Diceros bicornis minor: one gene and its partners. The main gene of each other region encodes a partner of the protein of the gene in region 3 in a complex. Links are inferred from orthologs where the notes say so. Each region holds a gene or a part of one and is shown on either strand. Other genes may lie near its edges.

Region 1 (3,744 bases), on a different chromosome or scaffold from region 3:
AAGAGTTCTAAATGGCTGCAACTTGGAGTTTACTCTGCCTAAGGTGAGTGTTTATGTTTTTGTGGTTTTGTTTTTTGAGTAAGGTTTTTTCTGTTTTTTTCCCTTCTCGCTCTGCCTGCCAGACCCTCCTTCTCCTCCCTTCTTTTCCTTCAGATTCTGAACCCCATTCAAATTAGTCTCCGCGCCACTGGCTCCTGGGACCCTCATCTCTCTGCCCCTCTAGTAAGAAACAGCTGTGCCCCCCTCCCCCCATGCCTCCTGTTCTTATTTTCTTATTTCTCCGACGCTCCCCTGGTGCTGCTGTCCAAAGACACACCTTCCCAGCTAAGCCAGCTGTCTAGTCTCGCTCCAGCGGTTCGGGGGAAGCAGAGGGAAGTCTGCACTCTCCAAATCCACCCCTCTGCGTTGGGCATCTCCCTCCCCTTCCCCTTGATAAACGATCCAGCCTCGATCATCCCTGCTCCTTCCTAATTGCTAGTCTTGTTTGTGGAACAAACCAAGGCTTTGGGCAACCTGCGGTTACACAGCTCTCCTTTGGTTTGGGGAGGGAGGGGGTAGCGTTCACGGTCCCCGGTGTGCCCAAGACTGTTAGACCAGATCTTTCAGATCTGGAGGCACAGGCAGCCGGTGACAAGAGAGCCCCCCCACCCTCGTGGGTGGGGGTGGGGAGAGGAGAAGGGACTCGGCTTGGGGAAGGAGGCAGAGAGGCAGCTGCAGTGCCGGGAGGGGTGCGTGCGCGTGTGCCAGGCTCGCCCGCCGCCTCCAGGCTCAGTCTGCGCTCCTCGGCACGCGGGGCAGCCGGGGCCGGGGAGTACGAACAGCGCCCCTTGCCCGGGCCTCGCCTCCCCAGGGCGCCCGGCATTCCCCCGGGCCTGGGCGCACGGGGCGGAGCGAACGACAGGGGCTGCGCTCCCCGCCCCCGCCCCTCGCACCCTGCCCGGCCCCCTCTCCATTGAGTTTTCCCCACACCGGCGCCCATCAATGGTCCTGCTCGGGGATGCACACGCAGCTCACGGCCGGAGGGGGGTAGCAGCCGCCGCCGCCAGGTGCGGGCTCTCCCGGGCCGCCGCCGCCACTCGCCGTCGCCGCCACTCGAGCCCCGGGGCGCGCTGAGGTCCTGGCCGGCCATGGGGCTGCCTAGGCTGCCGTTGATGGCGTGAAAAGGGGCGACGGAGCCGCCACGCTCGGGGTCCCCGGCTGCCTGCATGGATGTCTTCAGCTTTGTGAAGATTGCAAAGCTCTCGAGGTAGGGGCTGCGCCGGTGCATTTGCACCCAGGGCCGCCGCCGCGGGCAACTTGGTGCTTTATTTTTCGGGAGGCTCGGGGAGAAGTAAAAGCTGGAAAGAGCTGCGGGGCTTAAGATAGGACTGCAACGAGGTGGCCAGGGGCTGCTGCGTTCAACTTATTTCTCACTGGCTGGTGGGGCTTGTGTATCGACGGGTGTAGACCACACACACAGAGATACACACGCCCTCACGCACACACCAATGTTCACGACAGTTTGTTTTCCCTTAGGAAAAGCCCCAGTGGTACTTGGGGTCACATGTATAATTCAGGGCTAAGAGAAGATGGTTGTAATTGCTACTGCTAGGGAAAGCCAGAAGAGCTTAGAGCTTTGCTACCTGCTTTCCAAGCGGTAGTGACCAAAAGTGCCCCCCCGGCCCCGGCAATTAGACCTCCACACCCTGGAAAACTTAGCTTGTTTTGGGTTGACCCAGGTAACCGGTCAGGTGTTCCCAGCAGTGACCTAGATGCTGAAGTCATGGAGACAGAAGACAAAGACCTTTAGCCTTTCTTTGGGTAACTATGTAGTCCTAAGCCTTGAAAGACAGAAATTTGCTTCCAAGTGGCCGTGTTTTTGAAGTGGAAAAAAAGTCATCAATTCAGGCAGATTTCTGGAGCAGTGCTGATAGAGGAAGAACATTTCCACTTTTTGGCCACCTAGGTATTACCTGGTCAGAGCATTGCTCCTAGGTCTTCTGCTCTGCTTCCCTTTCCAAAGTCTTCATCGAACTCAGAAAGTAGGTCTGTGCTTCTTGCAATGTGGCATTAACTGGGAAGGGCCTGGTATGATTGTAGTGCGGCAAATTAGGAAATCTTGCCCCATCTCCTCTGCCCAAGTTTTTGGAAAGACTGGCCTTCTGCCCCGGGAGCTCTTGATAGCAGTTACTACCACACCTTAGGAGGTAGACAGTAGGGGTTTCCCAGGACGCAGTTTAGACTTGCTTTCAAGACAGAGAGAATAATTCTAGGTTTTCCTTCATTCCTTAGTGTCACGGTGGGACACGAATGCATCAGGCAAGAATGAGCGGCCTCAGATAGCCTAAGTCAGAAATGTATGTTGACTTTGCTTTGCTAAATTACATTTGAGACATTTCAGAAACATTTCCTTTGGATGTGGCCATTCAGATGTGCCTCTCCAACAACCATAGGTCTTGATTTGTTCTTCTTGCCCATCTCCACCTTCCCTCACTACTCACGTGGGTCAGTCTTAATGTCACAAGCAGATTTCCCAGGGAAAGGGCCGCATTGTAACTTAGTCTGGGTAGATGTGAGGTATACAGTTGATGGGTAAATGTCTTTATTGAAGAAGAGGCGTTGCCCTGCATGTCAGAAGACATATGTCAAGCAGTAGATGATTGTAGTGTGGCAAATTGTTTGGTTTCATGCTGATATCATAGAGGGCCATGGCTTCACACCTCTATTCTATTAACTTCCTGCATGCTTCTGCCTATGGCTGGTTTATCAACAGCTGTCAAATCATGAACCATGGAATGGAAACGGCTATGAGCAACAGTTTAGCAATTGCCTGATGCCATCTGTGTGATGGCAGAGAGATTGCCAAAGGGAAAGAAGTTGAACCAATAGTATAGTTTACAGTAACCAAGGTAGATTTCAGTGGCCTCAAATGCTAAAAAATGATAAGATTAACGAAACATCTAGAGCCTAGATTTACTTAAACTTTGGAGTTTGGGAGCGCACAGAGCTGTGTGTCAGTGAAAAGATGTTTTATACTCGTTTTGCTAAATTCTAGGGTGTCTTCATGATATTCACAAATCTGAGTTTTTGCAAAACCCAAGCCAGGCTGTGGGAGATTAGTATCTTATTTTAAAAAGAGGTTAAAATTTAGTAAATGAGTGTGAATTTCACTTTCTATCCTTAACGTGATCCAAATAGAGTGTTTATTCTAAAGAGAGAAGCTGCACATGTTCTGAGCTTATGTGCCTATTAAGAAATCTTCCATCCATGGGAAATCTTCTTGTTTCTCAGTGTGAGCTCAGTGATGGTCCCCGAGCTGAAATAGAAATACCTGTAGAGGGTCATCAGCATGCAGAAACACATGTTTGCAGCTGCTTGTTTCTGCCCTTGAAGGAATAAAGTCCTGTGCGTGTGTTGTAAAGGCTGTTACAGAAATCAAGTTCTTTTCTCAAAGGTGAAGTATAAAAGTGCTTACACTGCAGGATTTTCCTGATTTCAGAATGGATAATCTTCCTAAAGGATTTAGCTTTGATCAACGTGGTTACTTGAGTGCTTAAAATTCTCTTGGTTTGGAGATGAACACACGTAGTTACCCCGGGCCTTAGCCTTGTCTTGGTTCTCAAGAACTTGAGTTTCTAAATGTTGATTCGGAAAGCATTTGCTGTAGAAGCATACCTGATATTTTCTACGTGTTCTATCCGTGAATAAAGAGAGTGGTAATTACAAAGAATTACAAGAGAATACTTATCCACACTGGAATTAATA
Region 2 (3,744 bases), on a different chromosome or scaffold from region 3:
TAGAGTGAGGTAGGAAGTGGGCCTAGGACCAAGTGGGGGGCCAGGGCTTTAAGATAGTAAGTGGACCAATCAGGGCCAGCTAGAAGCCATCCAGAAGCCAGTTAATCATGGGAGCATCAGACATGGGTGCTGTGTTAGCCAGACTGTTTCCTGGCTAGTTTAGTTAAATCTGTTTGATTCCCACTGTCTTCAGTCTCTCTAGTTCCCTTTCCCCACTTAAACTTTCAAGGAAGGATGTGAAACTCATTCAGCCTGAAGTATAAATAACCCAAAGTAGGCCATACAGGTTTCTTCTCCCTGGGGCCACTGAACCTACTCCTTGGAACAAGTGCTTACACTAGAGAGGCTGTAGGCTCAAGCTAGACACTTGGCTGTAAGTTGGCGAACTGGGGTCTAGTCCTAGCTGTCACTGACTTGGTGTGTGGCCTTGGGCAAGCCGCTGCTCCTCTCAGGGTTTCAGTTCTCCAATCTATGAAATGGGGATACATATGCTTGACTCATAAAGCTCAAAAGAGACTGCATGTGAAAGCGCTGGGTAAGTTACTAAATGTAATAGATCTGTCATGAAGACAGTAAAAGGAATGAAGCTCTAACTGTAGAGCTTCGAGAAGCAGACCACGGAGGCGTAGGAAGAAGAGATCGTTTAGGCACAGGACCCCTCATGAATGTGTGGGAAGATCCTGCTGACTCTCTGAGAAGAAGGCTTACCCTGGGGTCTTCCTGCTTGGAAAGAAATGGGCAGTTCAAGCCCCATCAAGTTTCCTACATCTCCAGTATTAGGGCCTGTGATGTACTCTAATGCTACTCCCTTGTCTCGAATAGGGTCTCAGTTCCTCAGAGGGAAACCAACCCCATGTCTGAGGGCGTTTCAGATCTCCCAGGGTGTGTCAGGGATTTGAGGCATTCGTATTAGGGGGCCCCATGTTTGTGATGGGGGAGGTTCTAAAGCACCCCCAAATCTGTATGGGTATACATCTCAGCGTCCTTCCCTCCCCTCCCCGCGCCCCTCTATCCCACATGTGTGTTGTGTCTTGTTCACTGTGAAAGGCGATAAGGGGTGGGGGGTGGGGGGGGTCTCAGGTCCCCGAGAGAGGAAGTTCTTAGTCTCTCCGGGTGCCCTTCCCCTTTCCATAGAGCTCTCGTCCCCTAGAGCGAGTTTCCTGTTTTCCCGCCGGACTCACCCGCAGTTGCTTCCCCTCCAGCCTCGGCGTCCCACTACCTTAGGGTTACTCAGCGCAACTCCATGGCAACTACCTTCAGCACTGTATGCGCTGCCGCGAGGCCTACCCGGAGCTGTAGTTCGTCAGGGGCGGGGCTCCAAGGCCGCGGGAGGTGCTGGGATTTGTAGTCGTCTTTGCCCTCAAGTCGAATCCGGGGTCCGGAAGTAGTGACACCCCTTCTCCTTTCCCAGTGGCCCTCACACTTCCTTTTCTCGGGTCCTCAAGCGTGCCCTTGCGTTCGACACCCGCCGACAGGGGCCAATCAGAGGGCGGCGCGAGGGGGCGGTGCCATAGTTTAAACTAATTGTGCTCTCACAGCGCTCGCGCGAGCCCGCGACGAAAACACTCGGAGGCACCTTGAGGCGGAGCGGGAGCGCGCGGCCAGGTAACCGGCGCGGGCCCACGGCTGGCGTTCGGCCTTGGCGCCCGCGGGGATGCCCAGGCCTAAAGGGGGTGCTGGAGAGGCAGGTGCGAGCCGAAGGCCTCCTTCATAGCCGAGTCTGACAGGGGAGAATCCGTCGGGGGTCAGGTGTGTGAGGAGACGGGCGTGCCTAGGGGGAAGCTCTGTTTGGGGGCGTGTCTGTGGAATTAGGTCTGACGGCGACTGGGGTGGGGGTAGTGCATGTTCCCGAAAGGCTTGTCACCGAGAGGTCCTGTAATGGGAAGTCTGCGCCTGTCATTGTTAACAATAGTAGTAGTAAACATCTTCCGAGCACCAACTACGTTTCAGACGCTGTGCTACACCCTTTATATGGATCATCTTTTAAATCTTCCGAACAACCTTATTGTGCTTTATGACAGATGGGGAATCGAAGTTTATAATGTTGAACTTGGCCGGGGTTACATAGCTGGTGAGTGGTTGGTTGTCCTGGGGTTCTTGAGGGTTGGGCCTAAATGAGGACGGGGGGAGGGAGTGCCTGGGGGTGTGGCTTGTCTTGGACGAGTCCATTTATTTTGACGCTCACTTTTCACATATGTAAACAACGAACTTACCTGCCTTACCTACATTCCTGGGGTGGTTGTGAGGGTCAAATCGGGTAAGGTGTTTCTTGCGAGCATCTTGGAGAGAACAGATTTGTGACTATAAGGGATGTGACTGTGTGAAGGTTGTTGGTGGGAGAGAGCCCATCTGGTTAATGCTGCCTCCTCTGGGCGCCCTCTTTTGCTTGCCCCTGAGGTAGCGTTTTTCATCTGGTATTCTAAGAGTGTCTGCATGTTTGTCTGCCCTTGTAGATAGAGACAGTGTCTTTTGTCCCTGTATCCTGATGCCCATGCAGGATATGAACCGGGCCATTAATGTGTGCTTTGAAATGAATGAGCTTTCTTGGGCTGAAGGGAGATAGGAGCCCGGCTTTCCCATCGTTATTTAGTGGCTGTTGAACCTCTGTATTAGGCTATCCTCTTGCCTGGAATGGCACTGCCTCCTGAAAATGTGATATTTACTTGCTTTAATCCGTGCTTCCCTCTCTCCAGTGTCTGTTGCCTGGTCCTGTGTTCCCAAAGTTCTGGATTGTGGTTTTTTTTTTTTTTTCCTGAGGAAGATTCACCCTGAGCTAACATCCGCTGCCAATTTTCCTCTTTTTGTATGTGAACCACTGCCACAGCATGGCCACTGACAGATGAGTGGTGAAGTTCTGCCCCAGAGACGCGGCCGGGCTGCCGAAGCAGAGCGTGTGGAACTTAACCACTAGGCCCACCAGGGCTGTCCCTGGATTGTCAAATGTGTTACTCTGTGGTGGGCAGACTGTTGATAGTCAGGGAATTGGGGGCTCTCTACCTTGTGGAGATTTTTACTGTTGGGAGTATATGGGAACCTGGAGGGAGCATTCATATCAAGTAAGGTAACTTTCAATCAGCAGGGATGAGTGTATCTGTTCCCTCCCTCTCTGTTCCTATGTGGATTTTCTTCTTTAGCGGAAGAAGCACATACTTCTCTGTGAAAGTTCCAGAGAACTCTTTTTTTGGCCCAAGTTCAAGCAAATGATGACTAATTGTAATGCCTGGTTCTTAATCTAAAACCAAAAGCTGTACTCCCCCCAAATTAGAAGATCTTCCTCAAAAGCTCATATAAGAAATATTTCTAGTTAGAATATTCTTTTTTATCCATGGAATATGGAAGTGGGAAGAATGCCTTGAACTTGAATTCTAGAACTATTAGGATGGGGGGGAAGTCCTGCCACAGATGACTAAACAGCTTATCAGGGAATGTTTTGATGGCGTGTCTAATTGATAAAACCCTATGGTCAGTGGGTATGTGGGGGGTCATTTATTTCAGCCTCTTACCCTGTGTACACTAAACATATCAAAGAGTGTTGTCCAGACTCACAATGAGCACTTCCAAGAATGAGACCACTCCGGAGTCCATCTCCACCTACCACCAAAAGGTAGTCCATCTCCATGTTTAACAATTCCAATTAATAATAATTATTGTTTTGTGCTGTCAGTGATTATTTCATTTTACCCCATGTATGTTTACTGTTTGTTTTGTCACTATTCTTTCTTGCATTTTATTCCTTCGTTTTGT
Region 3 (3,744 bases):
TCTGGGGGCCATGGTAGGGAATTTAGATTTTATTTTAAATCAAATGAGAAGTCACTGAAGATTTTCAAGTAGGAGAGGGACATAATCTGATTTATGCCTTTTAAAAGATAATTTAATTTGAGTAATTGGGAAGATGGAGATCAATATCAATGATAGAAAGTCACTGTAAGAGAAGATTTGCAGGAAATGATTCATTTTGAACATGTTGAATTTGATATATTGTACTTCCTTTGTGGCTTTCATATTAACACCCAAAAAAAGAATTTATGAGTAAGAAGGAATTATAATACCTACCTCTGAATAGTACAGCCAGCTGATTCAGTTGTTGTTTATAAGAACCTGCTACTAAAGGTAGTTGTTGCTAACAACAGGCACCATTTATTGAGCAGTCAGGCACTATGCTAACCACTTAACAATGTTTACATCACTGAAGCATCACAACCACCCTTATTAGAAGAGGACTTATTATCTATATTTTACAACTGAGGAAACTAAGGCTAAAGAAGATAAGTAACTCATTCAAGGTCAACCAGCCAGTAAGCGGCAGAGAAGGAACTCAAATTCCAGGTCTAGTTTGATGCCAAATCTATTTTAACCAATTTGCCATAACATGTTCCCAATAAGAGAAAGGCTGCTTGGATCACTGGTTGTGGCCATCATTCACAGAGAGATTGAAACCGAGGGTTTCTTTAATATATCCTTAAGCCTGTAGAAACACCTACCTGAGAAATAATCTAATTAAATTCGTCAAATTCTTTAGCCCAGAGAGACAAGTCTTGGAATTTTTGAGAAAAACAAACTGAGATCTATTTGTTGTTAACTCGATATGGAGAGGAAGTGAATGGAAATAAAACTTATTCTTCCCAGTGTATTTGGAATGTAGCTGCCTGAAACTGAGTAAAACGGCTACCCAATTTTGCTGGGAACCAGCGATTCTGCAGTCAACAGAAGTTTGCTTTTTTAACAGCTGGAAACGCCAGAACTGTGACACAGCCTCAAGAACTGAGGCTGCCTTGTTCAGACCTCCACACGGGTCCCTCTGTTCCTTTCACAGAGCCCTCTTTTTCTGAAACATCCCGCATATGCCGCTTGGGATACTCATTCTCTGGGCCAGGACCGAGTCCTAAGGGCAGGAGGCACTGGTTTTGGGCTCCCGTCTTTTCAAGGGGTCTGGACAAGAGCCCCTCCGAAGACCTCTTTCTGGACAATATTTATCGCTCCACCCTTCAGTGTCTGAAGAACAAAGACGACGACGGGAAAGAAACTTCAATTTGGTGCTGGAGGGCAGATCCCGGAGCAGCGGAGGACCGAATCACCCAACGCCCCCCTCAGCCTGACACGCAGAACCCCACCCACCCAGGACGGCGGAGGCCGCGCGGGGACGATCGCTCCGCCCCGCCCCGCCCCACCGCCGGCCATTGGCGGGTCCGAAAGTCGCGGGGCGGTGTCTGTTTGAATGTGAGCGACTGGAGCCGGGGCGCAGGCGCAGAGGAGGGGAGCGGTGAAGAGCGGGCGGCGCTGCGGACCCCTGGTTGGCGGTGGGACGTGTCGGGAGGCGAGGCGAGTCCAGGGAGGTCTGGCCCACGTGACCCGCCGGGGGCCGGGTCGGGGGGCGCGCGCCGGCCTCCCGCGGTGCCCCTGCCTGGCGAGGCGCCCGTGGCGCGCTGACACGCCTGGTGGAGGGGCTGCCGCCGCCCGCCCGTCGCCCGAGGCGGCCGCTGCTGCAGCTTCGCCGCGTCCCCCGCGCTCCCAGGACTCGCCGGCCCGCGGGAGGTGAGTTCTGAGGGGCGTTTGAGGGCGCCCCGCGGCGGGAGGTGACAGGGAGGGGGCGTGTGTGGGACGGGCTCTGTGTCCAGGGTCTGGGGGCGACCGCCTTTGTTCGGGGCGGGAGGAGCCGGGGGTGGTCGGCGGGGACGCGAGTGGAGAAACCAGAAACTCGGGATGAGGGACAGCTGCGTCCAGGACGAGCGCTCAGCTGCTTTCTGGTGGACGTTTTAAAATGAGAGTAAAGCTTACGAGCCTCGTTCCCTAGTATTTTTTAAATAAAAAGTTCCCTAGTATTTTTTAAATAAAAAGTATATTAGGATACAGTGATTTGTCACGTATTCTCAGTGTGAGTAACAAACCTGAAAAATCGGAATCCCTGTGGAATTAGACCCCAGGCAGATTGCAGTCACTTGTAGTCGTGCGCTGCTGTCTAAACCAGGCAGTTTTTGTCAAACACCTGCGTTTACAATATTTAAATTCATGATCTTTCGGACACCAGCCTGTCGATTTACCATAAAAATTGGTAGTTGCTGCAAAAAGTTTTAGTAAGCATGGAATGTTAAGAAAGCCCTTTGCTGAAAACCTATAGAATATCTTCGAATAGTAAAAAGTGGAAAATGTGTAATTTCCTTGTTTTGATGGTAACCAGTTAGATCATTTTAACTAGTATCATTTGAACTCCGTTAAAGAATAGGAGTAAGGATGGAAATTTTATTTGCCTTAATGCATAATTAAACCCTACCGTGGAGTTAAACGAAGTAGGCTCTTGGCTCTGCTTTCTTCGGCTTGTGTTGGAGTCTCTCGTCGTGGGTGTGGGAGGTTGATGTACCGACCGAGCTGAACTTTCAGGCTGCCACTTTAGAATGGTGCGCGGAAGATTTCCAGCCTGATAGCCGCCAGTGTGATTACCTCTGATAAATACCACTTTTGCTTGAATTGTCACTTTTCAAGAAGCAACTGTGGTTGATTTTTAGAACTGAGTAAGCAGCAGATCACTGTTGGTTGACATGGATGTGTGTGAGGGCTCAGGGGCTGAGGGACAGTCTCATACCTACTCTTCTTTACACCTTACCGTGGATTCGTTCTGACAAACTCTTTCTCAGGCTGTTCTTTACAATGTAAGGAGTGGAGCAGATACAAAGTAAAAAGTTGTGTGATATTGTTGAGAGGCATTTCCTCCGAATCCTCTTTGGCTAGATAAGCAGTTTAGGTGTGTTTTCTTCTGTTATTCAATCAGACATGCAGTGTTACAAATATTATATTTTAATATAAATCTCAGACTTGGTACTTAGGCTAATTGTAACACAGATAGGATATAGTCGTTTTTAAAATGGCCTCGTTCTTAAGGATAAAATATTTCTAAGATTTACCTAAAAGATAAAATTTTGTAATTAGTAATCTCTGGAATTTTAAAATTGAAAATCTGGTATAGATTTAGACTATCCTAAATCTATTCTAATAGACATGTTCTTTTTTATAATAATAATAATAGCTATTATTATTATTGCTACTATACTTTGAGTACTTTCGTTAAGTACCAGAGCCAGGCATTGGGTTAGGTGCTTTATAAATCAGATCTCCCATCATCACAACACATGTTGGTGTTGGATAAGTATCATTATGCCCAAACCAACTCTGCGAGTTTAGCTCAAGATCATATAACTAAGTTACTGTGCTGGGCTTCAAACCGTGGCCTGATCCCAAAGCACATGCTGTATCGCGTCTGTGTCTTTGTTTAAATCTCCTCCAGGTCTCTGGATTCCATTTGTAAGGACATAATCCTACTTTTAAGATGCCTGTAGGTGCTGTGTCTTGTTGTGAACTATGCAGAAATATTTCAGTCCTTAGTTTAGGACTTCTGTCTTCCTTTCAATACCTTATAAATCACAAATCCTTTTAATCATCTTTATAAAAACAGTAAAAAATTAAGAGTAAGACTTTCCTGAGTTATTTACATGAATATGAATATATTCTTTA

Evidence for each region.
Region 1: the proteins of GPSM2 (region 3) and FRMPD4 are in contact, whole or in part, in a crystal structure (PDB 4WND), measured with the Homo sapiens proteins. The link is inferred for Diceros bicornis minor from reciprocal best matches to the Homo sapiens genes GPSM2 and FRMPD4. Residues at the interface, in NP_001307967.1 of Homo sapiens: Leu25, Ala28, Leu29, Glu32, Asp57, Lys59, Thr60, Ser62, Ala63, Ile64, Ser66, Gln67, Asn70, Phe73, Tyr74, His85, Asp88, Ala92, Gly100, Lys103, Asn107, Asn110, Thr111, Lys113, His128, Arg143, Tyr146, Asn147, Asn150, His153; in NP_055543.2 of Homo sapiens: Gln988, Leu989, Leu990, His991, Ser992, His994, Met995, Glu996, Met997, Glu998, Pro999, Glu1000, Thr1001, Met1002, Glu1003, Thr1004, Lys1005, Ser1006, Val1007, Thr1008, Asp1009, Tyr1010, Phe1011, Ser1012.
Region 2: the proteins of GPSM2 (region 3) and NUMA1 are in contact, whole or in part, in a crystal structure (PDB 6HC2), measured with the Homo sapiens proteins. The link is inferred for Diceros bicornis minor from reciprocal best matches to the Homo sapiens genes GPSM2 and NUMA1. Residues at the interface, in NP_001307967.1 of Homo sapiens: Ala28, Leu29, Glu32, Cys35, Lys36, Phe47, Lys59, Thr60, Ser62, Ala63, Ile64, Ser66, Gln67, Asn70, Ala71, Phe73, Asn110, Lys113, Tyr146, His153, Lys157, Pro164, Gln165, Arg203, Gly206, Asn207, Asn210, Tyr213, Leu214, Arg228; in NP_006176.2 of Homo sapiens: Ser1901, Phe1902, Tyr1903, Met1904, Gly1905, Thr1906, Cys1907, Gln1908, Asp1909, Glu1910, Pro1911, Glu1912, Leu1914, Asp1916, Trp1917, Asn1918, Arg1919, Ile1920, Ala1921, Leu1923.

Annotation. Positions count from the first base shown.
Region 1 is NC_080781.1:9,643,738-9,647,481, forward strand, and holds the start of FRMPD4 (FERM and PDZ domain-containing protein 4), read left to right. Parts: upstream 1-1,099; 5' UTR 1,100-1,205; coding exon 1,206-1,246; intron 1,247-3,744. UniProt on the Homo sapiens protein: Positive regulator of dendritic spine morphogenesis and density. Required for the maintenance of excitatory synaptic transmission. Binds phosphatidylinositol 4,5-bisphosphate.
Region 2 is NC_080746.1:58,562,539-58,566,282, forward strand, and holds the start of NUMA1 (nuclear mitotic apparatus protein 1), read left to right. Parts: upstream 1-1,507; 5' UTR 1,508-1,605; intron 1,606-1,631; exon of another isoform or gene 1,632-1,749; intron 1,750-3,744. UniProt on the Homo sapiens protein: Microtubule (MT)-binding protein that plays a role in the formation and maintenance of the spindle poles and the alignement and the segregation of chromosomes during mitotic cell division.
Region 3 is NC_080743.1:42,060,963-42,064,706, forward strand, and holds the start of GPSM2 (G-protein-signaling modulator 2), read left to right. Parts: upstream 1-1,548; 5' UTR 1,549-1,773; intron 1,774-3,744. UniProt on the Homo sapiens protein: Plays an important role in mitotic spindle pole organization via its interaction with NUMA1. Required for cortical dynein-dynactin complex recruitment during metaphase. Plays a role in metaphase spindle orientation.